2 linked regions of the Struthio camelus genome follow. The protein of the gene in region 2 interacts with the protein of the main gene of each other region in a biochemical or structural test. Links are inferred from orthologs where the notes say so. Each region holds a gene or a part of one and is shown on either strand. Other genes may lie near its edges. The genes, in order: EME1 and SLX4.

Region 1 (9,367 bases), on a different chromosome or scaffold from region 2:
CATATACAAATTGGGAAAAAGAATTCACTTTCAAGCTGTCAAAGACAAAAGAATGCTTTTATATGCCATTTTTAAAGACTTTTTTTTTCCACGGCTGAGACAGAAAATAATACAGCTGCTCTGACAGGAATGCTAAGATTGTGTAGGACCACACAAGATGGCTTTCCAAGCTACCACTGCATCACATGCTGCTGTCCTTATCAATGGTAGCAGCTAAATGGTTCATTCTCAGTAGTGTTTCTCTCAGTTACATTTCAAAGAATAAAAGTGGGTGCTGTAAGAGCCTGACCTTATTTGCATTCCCTTCCCACTCCTGAATGCCAGCTCAGAGCAGCACCTTGACTTGACATAAAGCAGGAGTCCAACTTGAAATCAGGGTCTGTCTTCACCTCTCCCCAGGCACGACATCAGTTTCTAAGAACTAACCCTGTTTTGAAGAAGCGGCATCAAGAGTTGCTCTGCGTTGCCTGCTCCTTTAAAATGCATTATACTGTATTGTACTTCAGTACAGCTGTATACTTGTTATTCCCTCCCAGTAATCTTGAAAGTAAAGCCTCTCCCAAGAAGATATTTCAAAGTCTCATCTGCTTACTCACTTGTACGGTGCTTCAGCTACTGCTTTAGTGAACATACTGACAAACTCTCCGAGTTCCTCCCAGCTCTCAGCAAATCTGACTTGGACTTGCGTGTGCAGCTGCAGATCCACCAGCGCCTGTAAACAACAGCGGAAACAATAATGGAACAATTCATCCTCTTATCCCATCAGACTCTGCTCGTCTGATACAAAAAGTGTCATCACACCTTGCTATAGGACAAGACCATGCACACTCTCCCCAGTACGTGAACAGCTAGCTTGAGGCACTAAGGTATGTAGGGGCAGTTGGTCTCCTGCTTGTGGAATAGCAGGTTAGTGCCACTTCAGCTGACTTAGCTCCTCAGTGGAGGGCTCTCGTTACATGCAGGCCACCCATTCCAGTTCAGCGCTGATGTGCACAAAGGCTGAATTCCCCCACCCAAGAAAAAGCATGATTGGGTCAAACGCTCAGTCAAGGGCAGACAGGAACAGAGACGACTACTGCATGCCTGTTCTAAAGGTACTCACTTCTTCCACATCTAGTCTGGACACATCCGGGCCAGAATCCTTAGCTTTCTTTTTTCTCCGTTTTCCCTGTTCCTCTGCTTGGTCTCCATTCACTGCTGCCTGTTGCAGTCTCTTTTTTGACTGAGCTCTGAGAGATCTAAGAAGAGGAAGATAAGGAGTTCACGTCAGCACAAATAGCACAGAAGATCAGGCTGCTGTGGAGTGCCTAATAACTTAGTGTCAGCACCCCTACTAGGGGATGCCAAATAGAAGAAACTGTCAAGGACTATTAAACACAAAAACATTACATCTGATTACGAAAACGCCTCAGCAACAAATTTTTGGAAGCTAGGAAGGTATTCAAAGGAAGTATCCTACATTTTTTCCCCTCTCCTCATGCTCTTCCCTAGATATTTGCTGTTGGTCACTCATGGTGATAGGCTAGGTGGACCTTTGTTTCTGTTCTTCTATAACAAATAGTAGAACAGTTTTGGGTAGGAATACTTCTTATGTTCCAGTCTTTGCTAGAAGGAATTAATGTAAATACCTATTATATTTTTCAGTGCCAAAGACAAGGGAAAAAAGCCTAACCTGAAATAATTTTCTACTTCAACCACTGCCAGTGCCAGAATCTTCCCAGGCATTTTCTCCATCACATGAGCAACAAAACTCTGTAGTGTCTCCTTCTGTCCTTCTGTGCAGCCCTGGACTTCCTGCAAAGATCAACAGAAAAAAAAAAAAAAAACGGGGGGGAGGGGGGGGTTTAAAAAATTCTGAGTTATATAGGCCAGCCTATATAGGCCTTCTGTCCTAGCTTTAGGATAGAACAACCTATGGCCCCAATTGTGCAACTGGATCTTTGCAGAAGAAAAGGTCTATCCCACAGGACTAAGGTTTAGTTTCCTATTCTGGAGGGACACCCAGCTGGCCGATTAAGCAAAGAAGCTTGCGTATGTCTCAAGCCTCCTTCCAACATAGCAGAAAAGGAGAGTCTAATCATGTCAATTCAAAAAGATTCTCAGTGCTGGATATTCATAGAGTTTTGAATCAGGATTTTTCTCTTTCTACTGAGGTCTGGATTCCACCCTTACCAGTATCAGATCTGTGTACTGTCTGATATTCTTGAAATACATATTTAATTTGAGAACAGGCATGAGCACAAAAATGTATACCTGTCTCATTAACAAAAGTACACAAAGCACTGTTTATATTGGCTATTTAGCGGCTGTAAGCAAACAGATAACGCCTGATCCAGTGTAAAGCTATAGCAGCAAAGACCATCCTTGATCTTTCAATATCTATTAGGACAACATTTCCTCTTCAAAAAATCTATGAAAAATTGTAATTAGCGGAGAAGGTTTGTACCAGGTAAGAGCTTTGCATCATACAGCCTTGCTGGTTTTGATCCAGTAACGGCTTCTAAAATCAGATTTATACTTTACTGGAACCATAGCTTCCTTCCCACGTTAAAACCTTACTGCCGTGAAAAGAGACGACAAATACCACCCTTTCAGCAAGACATATTCTGAGAGTATGAAAAAGTCATAAGCAGTCTCACTTGTTTGTAGTTGTGAACCATGAACAAAAACTCCTCCAAGCGAAGCAGAACCAGGACATTCGGTTCTTCCGTCCATCCACTTTCTTCTTGAATCTGCCCAGATATGAAAACAAAAAACCAGACCAATCGTCTGTCTATAATTCAGCTCACTCAGACTGGTGCTCTCACTCAGAGCTCCAAGATAGGAAAAAGTTTGGAAGGCAGTTACTTGGGTTGCTTATAACTACTACTATCTAGTTCAAATAGGAGTCAAAGAAAAAGGCAAGAACATCAAGATTTTGCTCCCACACCTGAGATGACACAGCCCTTCTCCGCCAAGTGATGCTGCAGGGAACAGTCTGACTCTCAATCACACAGGAATAATTCCCAGACTGCAAAGAACTGAGGACCTGTCCACCACCTTCTACCTGTAAGAGAACTGAAATTGGTGCATGGGTCAGGCTTCCATAGCAAGAGTTGATAATTCATATAAGGCAGATGCAGGATGTGGGGAAAAGTACCTGGGTCTAGCACCACTGTTATGTATTTCTGGCACTCCCCAGGACGCTGAGCTTTCAACGTCTTGGCAAGGGCCTTCCTCCTCTCTTTTTCCTGCTCCTGCTGCCTCTTCCGTGCTTCGCGCTCCTTCCTCCTCTGCCATGCAGCCTGAGAGACTGTCTCCCTTTCCTTCTGACTATATTTTGACTTCTTTGGAGGAGGAGATGTTTCCAGACTTGCTTCTTTTCCCAACAACCTGCTACTTTGGGCTGCGGAATCAGACAAGCAGTCTGCCAGCGGGCACAAAGGTGGTCTGCCAGAACCGCGCACGTCATCATTTGGGCTCCTATAAAACATTTCTCCGGACGGTGCCAGGGCTCTCGGGACCTCAGAGGACTCTGGAAGATGCTGTCCTCTGCTGCCAGGAGCCAACTGGCCAGCGCTCTGGCAGAGCCCAGTTCCCCCAGCTGGGCTTGCAGTATCCCTGCTGCCCAGCTGGGGGGCCTCGACAGGCACAACCCCCGTTGCGCAGAGCCCGCTGGGGCGCGGTTTCCTCTTTAGCCTCTCCGACAGCGGGACGAGCTCTACGTCGCTCTCGCTGTCACTGCTCAGCATCACAACGTCTTCCGCGGCGGCCTGGCTACGCGAGGCCCTTCCCCGCCTCGGAGAAGGAGGCGAGGACGGCTCGGAGTCCGAGCTGCAGGCCGCGACGGCCGGCGGCGCCTGCTGCAGGAAGGAGAAGGTAGGCAGCACCTCCTCGTCGCTCTCCGCCGCCATCCTCAGCGGTCCTGCCCCGGGGCGGGTAGGGAGAAGGCAGTAACGGCCGCGCGGGCGGCGGTTGGTTCGAACGCGCGCGCGCTCGCGCCGGCGGCCGTTGGCCCTAACGGTCGCGCGCGCGCGCGCGCCGGAAGCGGAGGCGACGCAGCGCCGGGGGAAGATGGCGGCGCTGAGGCAGCTGCGTGAGTGAAAGGGCTGTAAGGGGCCGCGGGTGGGAGCCTGGGCCCGGCTGAGGAGAGGGGTGGTGGCCCGAGGGGAGGCCCGTTCTCGCGGGTGGGCGCCACCGATCCTGAGGTCTTCCCCTCTCCTCAGGCCGCCGGCTCGCCTGCGTGGGCTCCGCAGGGCCGGGGTGAGCGGCCGCGGGGCTGGCGGTGTCGGGCGAGGGCGTCAGCCCCGGTGTCTGCATCCGGGCGGCTGCCCCGTCACGGGGTGGGGTTGGGATCTCAGTGGTCGAGGAGCTCGGGAGGTCGCCGGTCCGTCCTGCTCAAAACAGGGCCAGCTCTGAGCTCAGGCCGAGTTGCTCAGGGCTTTTTCCGTTCTGGTCTCCAAAGGTCTCCAAGGATGGAGACTTGCACCAATCCTCTGGGCAGCCTCTTCCACGGCTTGACTGTCCTCAAGGGGGAAAAAGTCAATTTTGGAAAAACGCTATTTATTTCTACTGTGTGGAGATCAAAGAGCAAGGGGGGGCGCTCTATCCCTGTGCACTGCAAGAGCCAGGAGGCCTAGAAATCCCTTTTGTTATTCAGAAACGTTATAGTCAGGAATACTGTCATAATTTCTGTCTGGAGGTCAGTGTTTTGAAGTTCCCGCGTTGATTTCCAGTGTAATTTTTATTAAATTGCAAACTCTGTCCCTTGCTGTTTCACTCTGTGGATAGACTGCTTTCCCCCCATGTTTGATGCATTGAGGTTTACTTTTGGTTAGCCAGCTTTTTTCATTCAACACAAAATGTAACTTTGGAATCAACTGCAGTTTTTTTTTCTTTGATAAAAGTTAACTGGATTCTAACTTAGTAGAATTTGCATATATGTGAAACTGCAAACCCCCTTCCATCTTTCCCCGTTTCTCTGCAGTTTGTCACGCCTCAGCTTTTTTTTTTGTACTCAGTGAGTATCAAGCATCAAAGTTAACCATTCTTTGTAGAGCTATTTCCCTCCTCTCTGGGATATTTTAGCTCATTGAGTATCTGTGATAATTTAATTAAGATTAAACTAACTCAGTGCTTCTACTCTGAATAAGGAAATGAGAATTTTATGACTGCTACTCTTCTTTACTAACTTGCTGCTGAAGAGGTTGAATTTAGATTTGGATTTAGAAAAAAAATTAGGTATGGCTGCTAACTGCAAGTAAAAGGGAACTAAAGAGACTTGTAAAAAGAAGTTATTATATCTCAGTCATTTTTTTACAGAGAGAAGTTCACTGAAGGGTCAGCTCTCTTGATAAGAAGATCAGTGTATTTACTCAAAAGTGCTTTTCCTCTTTTTAAGAAAGAGCTTTGTAGCGTGAATGATATTTTGTGTTCCAGAGATAATGGTTACTGTAATAACTGCTTTCTTTTTCCTTGACTTGTCCTGATTGTAACTCAAGGAGCTGCATAAAATGCTTAAATTAGTTTTTGTTCAGGATAGTAACTATATTTATGCTTACATACTTTCCTGAATGGCAGTCTTAACATTTTGTAGTCTTATAGATGAGACTGTTTAAGTAAATCCAATTCAGTTGAAGGGGAGACCAAAACACAGATCACAATTTGTCTTTTCTCAAAGCTATGTAAGGCCAATCCATAGCAACCAGTAACTTCTGTAGCTCATGGATTTATAAGGCATTACTGAAATATGAATTTGTATATGTCCTTTAACATCATTGCTGAGAGTTTTATTCTTCCCTGGGTAGCAGCAGTTCTTGAAACGTGGCCTCTTTGCAGAAGATTTAGTCTACAGTGGTCTATCCATGATATACCTTTGTAGTAATATTTTCCCTCAGGGCTTTCTTTTGCCTCTAGCTTTAAAACGTATACTGATTGACAGTCTTTTTTTCAAGATTTAAAGGAAGAGTATTAAGATTTTTTTTCAGCTGAGATTTTTGTTGTTGTTGTTCTTGGTCTGAATCTAGTTCTAGCTGCTCCGCGAACAAGCCTGGTTGCTGTGAGATGTGCTTCTAAGAAAGCTGGAGGCAGCTCAAAAAATTTAGGTGGCCGCAGCCCTGGGAAACGCTATGGAGCCAAAAAAGTAGATGGTAGGTAAAGGCATCTGCTTAGTAGCCTTATGTGTGTTACAGTGGGTTCTCCACAGGTTATCCCCTGCTACGGCTGTTAGATGTGTAACTGCTGAGTGTTTCAGAAGGAGGTGAAAAGAAGAGAAAGGAAACAGGAGTTTGAGCAAAGCCTCACCATCCATAATTACACCAGTCACCAGCAGGAGGGCAGGGTGAGTCAGCCTCCCTCTCAGGTGGGCCTCCATGCAGCCAGCTGAAATTGCCTATAGAAAACATACTTTGATTCTAACTTTGCCTCTCTCTAGAGAGTCTGGGAGGAGGGGTACACTGTGGGGCACCTGATAACTCCAATGCACTTTCACCCCATGCTGTTTTCAAAAGCTGGGCATTTTAGATGTTTACAAAGGGGAGAATTATGAGGCTTAGCAGAAGCCAAAGTACAAGATTCTTATAGTTGAGTGCTTAATAATTAGTAGGTTTGCTGATGAAAACAGATCAATGTAAGAGGTAATAAAACAAATGCCCTGAGCAAACAGAAAATGCCTTCTGCCCTACAAGTAATCTTTTCAAAGATTAGAATTGCTCTTTGACATTATGTATCAATTGCCTTCTATTTCTTGCCAATAGCATTTTTGTTTAGATGCTTTTAGAATTTGAAGTCATTTTTCTTTAGAAAAATCTCACAGAAAGCTGGTTTTATAAGTTCCAGAACTGTTTGTATTCTGCGAGCTCCAGGGAGCTCCATTCCTCTGCAATCTGACTGTGCAACTCTGTTGCAGGTACATTTGTGCACGCAGGCAACACTTTGGCTACGCAGCGGTTGATACGCTGGCACCCAGGGGCTCATGTAAGTTGCTTTTCCAGCTCTTCCTCAGTTCTCAAGAGGACAGCAGCAGCCCACAACAGAGTCCAGTAGTCAATGCTGCTTCTTACAAGCTGGTTCTTAATTTCCTCCCCAATTTTCCATGTAATCCTGAAAACTGGTTTCACTGCCTTCTATTTCTTAGTCACAAAGCCTGCTTAGAATCATATCTGTGCCCATGTGACTTGGGAAAGGACTGAGAGTTATGAATATCCTGAAAGACTTCTGTAACCTAATTGGGCTCTTAAGGGTATACTTAAGGGTGGAATTGGTATCTCCTCCCTTGTAATAAAAAACATTACCTACTGTTTGCTGGAAGCAAAGCAATGTGGTTTTCTTTCATTCTAAAATACAAAGCAGCAGCTGCTTTTGAAACCAGGATATCAAACAAGGCAGTCTGATGATCAGATCTGCTTCTGCGGTGTACCTCCAGCCTTTCCTTTCTAACAGTGTGCTTGTCCTCTTCCAGGTGGGGATAGGCCGTAACAAGACACTTTATGCTCTGGAGGATGGCATTGTGAGATACACCAAAGAGGTCTATGTACCTCCGCCCCGCAGCAGCGAGAGCAGGGAGGTGATCTGCCGTCTACCTAAAGGAGCGATTCTTTACAAAACCTTCATCAGTGTTATCCCTACCACAGAAGTAGGAAGCTTCAAACTGGTCAACATGCTTTGAGCCTCCCGTGCGATCTAGGAGCAGCAGATGGGGAAGAACTGCTGGGACAGATCACTATAGCTGGTCTGGCATCCTAGGATACCACATACCTCGAAGAATATTCTAGCTCTGAAAATATTTGTGTAGGACTCTCTTCTTGCTCCTAAAGTGCATGTGATTGGTGCTTGGGCACAGGAATCACCTGCTGGCATTTATAAGAGGGTTTAATAAATGCTATGGGTTTCTTGAGTATCTTGACTGTTCACGGAATCTATGTTGCTTATGCTCATTTAGTAAGTGGAGCTGTCTTTTTCTGGAGAACCTGTTCCACTGTTTCCTTAGATTAGTTAACTTCACAATCACTCTTATATCGGTTATTTTCCCACTAATAATTCCCTCTCAAGTTTTAATGATTTTTAGACATTACTGTTATATTTGTATCTATCTTAATTGTAGATATTGCAGAAGAGGACATAGCCTCTTCCACTAGCACCTAACTCTGCATCCCAGGAAGCTAGTGTTTTTTCTTAATCAGTGAGATGAGTTAGTTATTAACTCCAATACGATCCCTGAAAGTGTTCCATTTACTAGCCACATGAGGCAAGTTTACATTCCTAAAGCTAACTCTAAATAATTAGTCATGAGTGCCTGGTAAGGTGCACAAGCCTGGGATGGTATTTGAAACTCAGCTGCTGGAGGCCATGAGGTACCTCATAAAGCCGTAATCCAGACTACCCTTTTATCTTTTCTATGAGTCATTCCATGGTTGTTCATGCTGCTCAAAAGACAGGAGCGCAGATGCCTGGTGGCCAATCAGATCTCACTTTATCTACAGGTTTGTAAACAATTTTTGAAACAATTGTTTTGCAGTAGAAAACAGGATATTAAAATCAGTGGTGTAATGACACCAGCGTTAACATTACTAGATTGTCTGCTCTGCAAAAGAAAACTAAGTAGACTGGGTTAACCACATATTTCCACCTTTGTTTCTTTATGTCCTTCTTAGAGACCAGCGGCTATTCCCTCCATGCTTCTATCCTTTCCCAGCTGCATGTCCAGTCACACAGTTCGTCTTGCCAGTCTCTGCATACAGCACTGCAAGTAACACAAGCTCCTGGATCTTGAAACTGGAATCTCCTGGACACCTGAATCTTTATCTCAAGTTCATACAAAATTGTTCTATATCCCAGAGGAATGTTGCTGTGAGAGCACATAGTGATGCTCTGATGCAGATTCATTCTGTTACTCTCAGGTCAGGACTCCCACCTGGTACCTGATACGCTGATAAAGAAAACCATTTTATAACCTAAGAAATAAGTGAAGTAGTAGAACACGACCACCTTCTGAGGTCTAACACTTAGTATGTTTGGCAGTACTTGCCACAGCCTCACAGAGGTATGTTACACTCAGCTGCCTCAACAGGCTCAAGCTGAGCAGACCTTCACCTTTGCTTTGCTCCCCGTGTAGAACAAAGTAGCTCTCTGGTAACAGTATGTTTGCCAGAGAGAAGAGCAAGCAGACGTCGCTGGTTATTCTGGACAAAGAGCAATGTTTAGAGGCGGCCCCGCTTTTATCCTTGGGCTGCAGGATGGAAGTCTCCAATGGCTGGGTCCGACTTGCCTGTGTGTTTCTCAGCTGATTGTGAAGGTCTAAGGTTTAGCTGTTCCCTGCAGACAAGAACGATGTCACAGGCACTTCTGTCACTGACAGCATGGGAAGGAGTATCTTGAGGCTGAGTCCTTA
Region 2 (9,051 bases):
CAGCTCCTGAAGGTATTTCTATCAACAGAATCAGATAAACTGCAAGACGTTCCGGGAAGACTGGCTAAGAGCTCTCTAGACTGCTAACTGTGATCTTTCAAAAGGACGATCTGGGAAGTAAACACCCCTCTTTCAGACTGAGATCAACGCCAGGCTGTTAACGCAATAGCTTATATGGGACTTGATAACGGAAGACGGATAACAAATTAATATGAATCAACACAGTGTTATGAAAAACACCATCTCCTGTGTTAACTTAGTATCTTTTTAATGAGACCTCTGTATGCTAAGAGGTGTAAGCATTTTGTAAACCGCTAAGGTAGTAACAGGGACAAACTGATTAATTAAAATCATACAAAGTCAACACTACACACATTTAAAACGATTAAAATCTAGCTGCCATAAAGGTTTCAAAATGCAACGAAGAGCAATCGTTGAATATGTATGTTCCTAGTATGATCCCAGAGATTCACTCACAGCCTGTTTTGTTTTTCTATTATTTAGACTTAGGAAAGGAGTTAGGAGAGACATCAACTACCACTGATCAAGCTGTCTGATGACACGAACAAGGGACCTGCTAGACAGCGTTGATGACAGACTGAGGCAGAACAACGCACACCGCGTGACAAACTAGCACAGGCATGCAATATAAATCTCAATACAAAGTCATATTTTAGGAACAGGAGCACAGGCCATACTCACAGGATAGGCAAGTCTATCCAGTAACTACAAAGGAGTTAAGAGCCCTGACATCAGACTAATGGGAGGGTCCGTATCTGATTCTGTGGCCACCTTGGTAAGTAGAGCAGCCAAAAGGTTGTGTTTCCTGCTTGGCACTAGTGAAAACAGCAGCGGCATTGCTACAGTGAACCTGTAGCACAATTCATTCACAAACCAGAGAGGTTACCTACAGATAACGCAGCATTAGCAGCACATAGCTTAGGAAAGACTTTCTTTCCAACTGCCCTTTCGGCACAAAGAAAAAAGCCTTACCTACTCCATCACGAGTGACCACACTGTTACCTTACCCCAGGTTTCTGACCCAACTCAGACAGCAACAATTTTGATCATTTCAGAGGATTCCATCATTTGGTAGGATAAAGAATGATCAAGAACACAGCAATCAAGAGTTACAGATGTTTGTGGAAAGAGATCAACTGAATAATCAGTGAGGAAGTGACTATAAAGAGAAATAAGAAGATTTTATTGTTAAATATGCAAGCCATTTCTTTTCAAGAGTGCAGTGTTATTCTAAAGGGCATTAAATACTGAAGGGGATGGTTACTTAAAACAATGTACATTCTATCAATAGTTTTCAAAAAGTTTATCTTCTGATTTTAGATTATGTCAAAATCTATGTCATCACAAAAGCCAAACATATAGTGAAATTTAACACAGTATTTTGATTTTTCCGCATTCTCCACAACAGTAAGATACCTGCTTTGAAAGGTGACCAAATTCATCACAGATTTCCACAGGCAGACTAAACCTAGGTCTTTTACACTAACATTTAATTAATTTACAGTAATGTATAATTTGCTCTCTTCCCAGCTAAAATAATATATAAGAGCTACAGTAAAATACATAACATAGTATCTTGTAGGTAAATTGCTTTAAGCTGATTCTGCCCTATCATACCTGTTCTCCATACTAACAAAGTATATTGGAAGTAGATAGGCTTGGTTTACAGTTCTCAGAATAGATTTTTACATGTCTTTACATTAAACTACTTTTTCCTTTTACTAACTTAAGTCCTTGACATCCTCAATATATAAATATATCATTACCTACAAACTTGATATGAGCACTCCAGGAACCTCTGGTTATCACACCAATAATCTCAGGGATGCATAAATGTGTCTGTTCCGTAGCCTACTAATAAGAGCAAGAGGTCAGCTCACAGACTACTAAGTCAGTTCCTCTATGTTTAGCTTTCAGGAAAATTCTTTCTAGAAACTCTGAGGAAGGGCCTTAAACACAATTGAGGACCCCGAAGCATAGTTGGAGGTTCACGAGCGCACAATAAAGTGTCAAATATCCTGTTTAAATTGCTATTTTCTACCATTTGACACCTCCTTTGGAAAAAGCTTTAACAAAAATTGAGCCAGTGGGAAAAGCAAACGCTCAGAAGAACTTGAGGTCCGTTTTCTTCCGAATGTAAAGCTTATGATAAAATTTCTTTTGTTTCTGTTTCCAATCTGCTGCTGACACATCCCCACAGTGCAAAGCAATATAACATTTCCTAGATACAGAGAAAACTGTTTCAAGCCAAACAGCCAAACCAAAGGGGAGGGGACGGACCAGGAGGGAGATGAGGAGTAGGATCTGAAGGAGATGTGAAAGCTAACCAAACCAGGATCTTTTTGTAATTAGAGCAGCGACTGTACCCAGCCTACGATTTTTGAGTTTATACAGCAGCCAGTAGACTGAGCATGAATTAAAGTTGTTGCCTTCGGGCATTACTAGCATCAAACTATTTATTACAAATAAGAAATATTTTAGCCCTGCAAATGCACAATTTCTGCTTTATTTAAGATCATCATGGCTACTAGATGTGCACCTGCACATCTGCAGGATCAGGGGCACAGTCCTGCCATTAGAACAGCCAGCACTGCCTGTTTCCGCTCAAGGTGGGCCCTTTTGCCCCAGGCCCCTTGGGCCTGGAAGCGATAGATACAATTCTTTATTGCTTCACGAAGCAGCCAACAGAATCGTTGACGGTTGTTTCAGTTTTTACTGGATCTCCCCAGCAGCCCTGGACGTTACCGCCGCGCTCAGCGTGGCGCGGGGAGTTTGCCTGGAACACCCAGCCGGCTGACATCAGGCACACCTTGGCGCAGGGCCGCCGCCGACGGCGCACCCGCCTTATCCGGCCCTCCATTGAACAACTTCGGCTCCGCTTGACCCCCAACTCTTGTTTGCTTTTGACGGCAGGTGACGCCAAGGGCTGAGGCTTCGCCCCACGGGGCGGCCGCAGCGCAGCAAGGAGCTGCCCTTCGGAGTCCGACCCCGCGGCCCGCGAAGCAGCCTCCCCCAAGGCGTCAGGGCCCCGCGGCCCGGCTGGAAGCGCCCGGGGCGGGTGCAGGCGCGGGGCCCATGCCGCCCCCGCCGGCAGCGCCTCGCCCTGTCCAGGCCCGAGGGGCCCGCGGCGACCCAGCTCCGCACCTCGCCCTCTCTCGCAGGCCGCGGCGCCGCCGCCTCCCCGCCGGCAGGTGGCGCCGCGCCGGGGAGCGCCGATGGCGGCGGCGGCGGAGTGACGTCACGCCAACCGCCCGCCCGCCGCCGGCCCCACAGAGGCGCGGCCCGCGCGGCCGCCGCTGACAGGGCGGAGCGCCCGGTGCCGCCGCGCCCGCTCGGCCCGCCGCCACAGCCGCCCCCGGCCCGCCGCCCGGCGCTGACCTCTCCGCCGGGCCACGGGCTCCCTCCGCTCCTCGCGCCCTGCCACAACGGCGGGGAGCGCCGACACTGAGGCGAAGCGCATGCGCCGCGCGCCAACCGTCTCCCCGACCCCCCCTTCCCGGGCGGCTTGCGCACGCGCGCTCGGCCTGGGCCGCGCCTTCCCCGCGCAGGCGCAAAGGTTTCCCGCCGCGGGAGCGGTTGCCATGGTGACGGCCCGCCGTCAGCCGGCCCAACGGTCGCCGGCTGCTCGCGGCCCTTCCGCGCCGCGCGTCGGTGGGCGGCGGCCGCTGAGGGAAACCCGCCCCGGGGCGGGCAGCCCCGCCGCCCCCCGCCGCAACCGCGGGAAGAGTAAAATACAGGAGCGCTTGAGCGGGGCCCGCGGCTGCCACACAGGTGAACAGGTCTCAGGTGAAAACATGTAGCAGAGCGTTGCCCTTTTTTTTTTTTTGAAAAGAATTAAAATCCTTGGAAACACGCAGCTGTAGAAGCATATGAATGTTGAGGACATAAAGACGTAACATTTGCTTGTGAGCGCCAAAAACTCACTCCTTCAGCTGCCCGGATAAAACCTGCCCTATACTCATTGGTGGGCTACAAAGCCGCCGCTGAAGACCAATATAATTGTAGTGCTTTGGGGATGTAACGAGCGGTTTGGTCCTCAGCAGGACATGGGTGGCAGTACTGACACGGAAGGTGAGCAGCGCTGTACCTCCAGCTTCCCCGGGCTCCTGGGTCAAGCGAGAGAGCGTTACCTTCGTATTTCGTACTTTTTACTACCTGGGGTCGAAAAGGAAAATGGATGTCAAGCTTTCACACCGCTCAGTCCAGGCTCTGAGATCTCATACTGAATTTTAAACTCTGAGCTGTGTTCAAAAGCAATTTCCTCCAGGTGAGCAGTTAGTTGTGGCTAAAGGTCTTCAGGTAATCAAAGCACCAGAGAGGCAGGGGGCTTCTTCCTACGCTGGGTTTCCGTTCTCAGTGCAGGTTTCTGTGTCGGAAGCGGAGTTTTTCCTTAAAGCTTGGCATGGATGCAGTAAGACCCAAGGCTACTACTAGGTAACGTTTCTGAATGGGCATACAGACGTTTGACAGCCACAGCGTCTTCCATATGCTGCTAAGGACAGCCCTATTAGTTTGCTTCAAAAACATCAAGTACTTTACTAACAATAATGCTACTAAATGTAAGCATCCTGATGGCTCCTTTATGTGCATCAGCATTTATTTTTCCGTAATTACATCTTGATCCCTAAAATTTGACATTACCACAACAATTTGACACTGTTATAGTCTTGCCAGTTTGGAAATTTTCTAGGGAAAAAAAAAAAACTACAACTTTTAAAACAAAATGAGCTACTGAGACACCATATTTTTTCAGTACCAGTAAAGCAATTTAATTTTTAATCCATGCTGAATTCAAACAATTTTAGCTTGAATGTTAAGCAAAAAGCAGCGCCCTTGGTGATTTTGGCAAGATTTAACAGAATATTTTATGCAGTGAATCTCCCCAGGAGACAGAATCTGCCCATGTCCGCATGGCAGAACCAGAACCAAAACTGATATGAAGAAATCCTTTGGTTTGTGTCTTTCAACACGTCTGCTAGTTTATTCGAGTCCTCTCTCAAGTTGCTACGCTTTATGGGAATTAGAAGCGCTCTTAAGAAAATCCTGCAATAACTTAGAAGCAAATATTGCACAAACATACTGAAAATACTCCAGTTATGATGTCCTGAGACATTGCACTGGTTCCACGATTACTACTAAGCCAGGTCACAGTAACTTTTTGTTGCACGATACCATAAATGCAATTCTTGAGCACCAAACGTTTAAAATAAAAATCCAAACTAAGCATTAGAGAAGCAGGGAATCTAATCTAGAGGGAGCACTAAATTATGCCAAACAGCCTTACTTTTGCCTTCATATTCTTACCTGTGTTTTCAAATAGATGAAGTGAGGCAGGGAACGAGCAGGAGAGGAGACCCTGACAAATAGCCCAGGTAAAACTCAAGCTTTCTGCAAGTGCCAGATCGCGTTCCTCTCCTCCCAGCTACAGCCATAACCCTTGCTGGTATTGAGCCCCGAAGTCTGTGTCCTCTTTGATAGATGCCATCGAGGTAGGCGGCAAGAGGACGTCAAGCGGTTTCTCCACAAGAAGCCAGACAGCCTGCAAACCCTGTCCGCACCTGCGATCCGTGAAATTGCCCAGCAGCGTTACAGCAACTGACACTGAACACAGTGAACATGCACCATCTTCAGCTAGAGACCAGCCTCCACGCCGCTGCTGCCAGACAACACTGCGACCTTGATCCCTTCTATTGCATTTTTTTAAAAATCTGCACTTAAAAAGAACCAGCTGAATTGTGGCATTTTTATACAGGTAAGCTCCAAAGCACAGAGATTTGACAATACCTACTGCTTACCAAACTGGTATCTATTTCACAGGACATTTCTATGCCTCTAACCATTGCTGAACGGCAACAAGGACATGGTTGCTACAAAAGGCTTTATTCACTATTTGGAACTTAAGAATATCTGGAAGATGCAGCCGCAATAACAGGTATAGAGAGAGGAAGGAGCTCTCCCAAAATCACGCAGCTGCTCAGAGGCAGGATATCTGATTCCCTATTTATGTAGGGGAAGATAGCTGACCTACGGGACTTTCGTTAATAATCTTTTTAAGAATTCACTTTTTCTTCCCGTTAAGGAAAAGGTCTGCATCAGAGATGACCGACCGGCCCCCAATCACAAAGTCTTCTCTGCGTTGAAACAGCAGCCGCAGCTCTCCCAGCTGGTGGAGTTTGTGGCTGTTCACTTAGGGCCTGCCAGCACAGCAGGGCTGACCAAGAGGCTGCAATATCACCTTCTGGCTACCAGAGGCCCCAGAGCCTCCGGAGGGCAGTGGGGCTGGAGAGGGACAGCGACTCGGGGGTAAGGGTACACACGGTTCCTGCCAAGCAGGCAGCGCTGGCTCTCCTGGCTCAGTGCAGGGAGCTGGGAGACAACAGCTTCCTATTGAACTTCAGCCAGAAAAAAATGGCTAAAAATGGTTTGGAGCAGTAACACGGGACAGGGATGACGTGCTGGGCTGGCAGGGCTCAAGAACTGAAGAGGTAAGAAAAACACAGACTAGTGGAAGTGAAGCCACTTCTACAGACATGCCTAAAGCATGAATGTAGGGCCCCAGTGCTTTAAACTCTGCCATGAAAATTTTGACTTAATTAGAAATACACACTATTAGTACCCTCCCATTACACAGTTATATAGGTGCAGAGAGATCCTTGAAATAGCAACACTTCTGATATATGTTGCAAAGGACAGGATATTTACTATCATGCTTTATTTTTGAGCTTTCTCTCTAGATAACTATGATCGTGTTCAGTATAGTCAGTATTTCCAATATTAAAAGTATTTTAAAAACAGCTGGGCCTGAAGTCACAGTGCAATGCTATTTACACTAAATATATAAACATATATATATAAAAAATGCACACATTGTAGATCATCTATACATATACACATGTATCCCCAGAATGCTAAATTAAGCACATCTTAAAATTTGTGTTTCTCTCTGCTCTCTCTGCTCAGTGTGACAAGCAGTTCCCCTGATCTATTATAAAGACTTGTAACTCTGGTGGCTGTTTGGCAACTTCAGACTAACTTTTTGAAGCTTCCAATACAAATTGGCTCAGTCCAGGTCAGAAACCATCAGAGAAGCAGTGAAGGGGCCTAGTTTAATAACAGTGGATGGGAAGACTGAGTAAAGTTTAGGTTTAACCTGCCCTTCACAGGATCTCATGAGCTTTGACCATGTTGGATGATGGAGCTCAGCACAATGCTCTGTGCACTGACTCTCTTGAAAGGACAAAGCAAGCAACAATGCAGCATTTTCCTCGAGAATAGTTATCTTTTTTCCCTAAACTGTGAACTTTGGGATGGTGCATGCCAGCATATATTCCTGTCTCCTCTTGTAAACCTGCCAGATTAACTGCACATTCCCGTTCCATAAGTCACACAGCACAAGTTAGAGAGGATACACTTCCAATGAATTTGTTATAAAATAAATTTTTTTCTCTTGTTCTCTTTGACAGTGAAATCAAATACAATTTCCAAGAAGAATCACCAGCAATCAATAAGGGCATTGGGCATTAGATGTGTACTAAAAGTCTCTCTAAAAACTTTAAAAAAGCAATGCCCAATTAAAAAAATGCTGATGGCTTGATTTCTTGAAGCATATTGCAAGATAACTTACAGCACCTGCTAAACTACTTGAGACAAAACAAGCCCAGGGATTTAGATACATTAGCAAAGACAAAACTCAAGCTGAACCTCCCTCTGCCTCCTGTCACAGCTCTGACTTCCCAAGTTTCTCAGAGTTTCCTTTCTGGAACAGGTTTTAACCCAATTACCCCTCATTTACTTGGGCTACAAAAGGAGAACCAAGTTTTGCTTGGCTTCACAGACTGCTTCTTGTTAACTGCTATTACCTGACCCCAAATCCCATGCAGATAATAATCTTGACATTTGGAATAAAGTCAGGCAGAGATGTTTAATGAGCAATTCATTATGACATGTTTTGCCATATAGACTTAAGGAGGAGGAAACTCTGCTTCTTTCACCAAGTTTTCATCCTTCCTGCTGCATGTAAGTAGATTAAGGGCAATGAGTCCTTATAAGTTTAAGTACTTACAGAAGCCTTTGGTCCTTGCACTCCTGCCAATTATTCCATTTTGACCAGGACTGAGGGCATATTTTTTATCCAGTCCCACCTGTTCACACTCCGGATTGTTTCCTGGAACAGTCAGATGGGAATGGGCTTGTGATTTGAGATTGATTTCTTGCCAGAAGGGGCTCCAGCTCTGACAGTGGGAGAGAGTGCCACTCTGGGGAGCACCCCTCTGTCATGGATGAGAATGAGAAAATGACTGTCAAGGCCCTCTTGGCTTGGATTGCATCGCAACCACAGCATCAGTCACTAAGGGCTCTAGAGAAGATGGAGGTAAATGTAGAGGGGAAGGAAAAGGAGAAGCAAAAGATGATTCTGCAAACAGGAGAGCAAATGACTTTTTCTGGAATAGAGCTTCCTGCTGATGAAAGAAAAGGAAAACCTGTGTTCAACTGTGCCCAAGGAACTTGAGGTGAGCTGTTCTCAGTCGAGATGGCAAGATAGAAAAGCAAGGTCCTTTTTGGCCATCCTCCTTTTCCCAAGCAATTGGGTAGGTTTCCAACTGGAAAGAACTTTGTAAAGGATGATTCCAGTAAGCAACCAAGCTTCCACGTCTTTATTGAAATCCTAGGAATTTTTGAACCCTAAGTTACTGAGAAAGTACATGATCATCTCACCAGATAAGGTTGTCCTCAAAACTGCCCTGGGAGGACTTTTCAAATTAATAGGGTATAGGACAGGAACGCTTTCGGGAAGAGGTGCTTCAAGTTTCTGTTACGTTCATGTAGCCTCTCTCATCCAAACCCAGGAGGTCCTTGTCTATATGTCTTTGGATCTTGGAGAAGCAGTTGGTTCTACTCTGCGCTGGGATTCTTGAGTCCTGGGTTGTACCCCTAGCTCAGATTCACTGTGTTTCTTAGGGAAATTTATTTAATCTCCATACAGACCTTATTTGTGCAACGAGAACAACTCTGACTTAGTTACTCCTCCCA

What was found.
Region 1: the proteins of SLX4 (region 2) and EME1 form a complex in vitro, tested with the Homo sapiens proteins (3 studies listed by BioGRID, with this or other methods). The link is inferred for Struthio camelus from reciprocal best matches to the Homo sapiens genes SLX4 and EME1.

Annotation. Positions count from the first base shown.
Region 1 is NC_090960.1:7,781,523-7,790,889, forward strand, and holds the start of EME1 (crossover junction endonuclease EME1), read right to left. Parts: upstream 4,020-9,367; 5' UTR 3,894-4,019; coding exon 3,140-3,893; intron 3,058-3,139; coding exon 2,930-3,057; intron 2,733-2,929; coding exon 2,640-2,732; intron 1,795-2,639; coding exon 1,673-1,794; intron 1,239-1,672; coding exon 1,103-1,238; intron 713-1,102; coding exon 597-712; intron 1-596. Other genes in the region: MRPL27 (large ribosomal subunit protein bL27m), read left to right, coding at 4,054-4,075, 6,006-6,128, 6,887-6,954, 7,439-7,645; uncharacterized protein, read right to left, coding at 9,365-9,367. UniProt on the Homo sapiens protein: Non-catalytic subunit of the structure-specific, heterodimeric DNA endonuclease MUS81-EME1 which is involved in the maintenance of genome stability. In the complex, EME1 is required for DNA cleavage, participating in DNA recognition and bending.
Region 2 is NC_090956.1:18,639,418-18,648,468, reverse strand, and holds the start of SLX4 (structure-specific endonuclease subunit SLX4), read right to left. Parts: upstream 3,555-9,051; 5' UTR 3,400-3,554; intron 1,876-3,399; exon of another isoform or gene 1-1,875. UniProt on the Homo sapiens protein: Regulatory subunit that interacts with and increases the activity of different structure-specific endonucleases.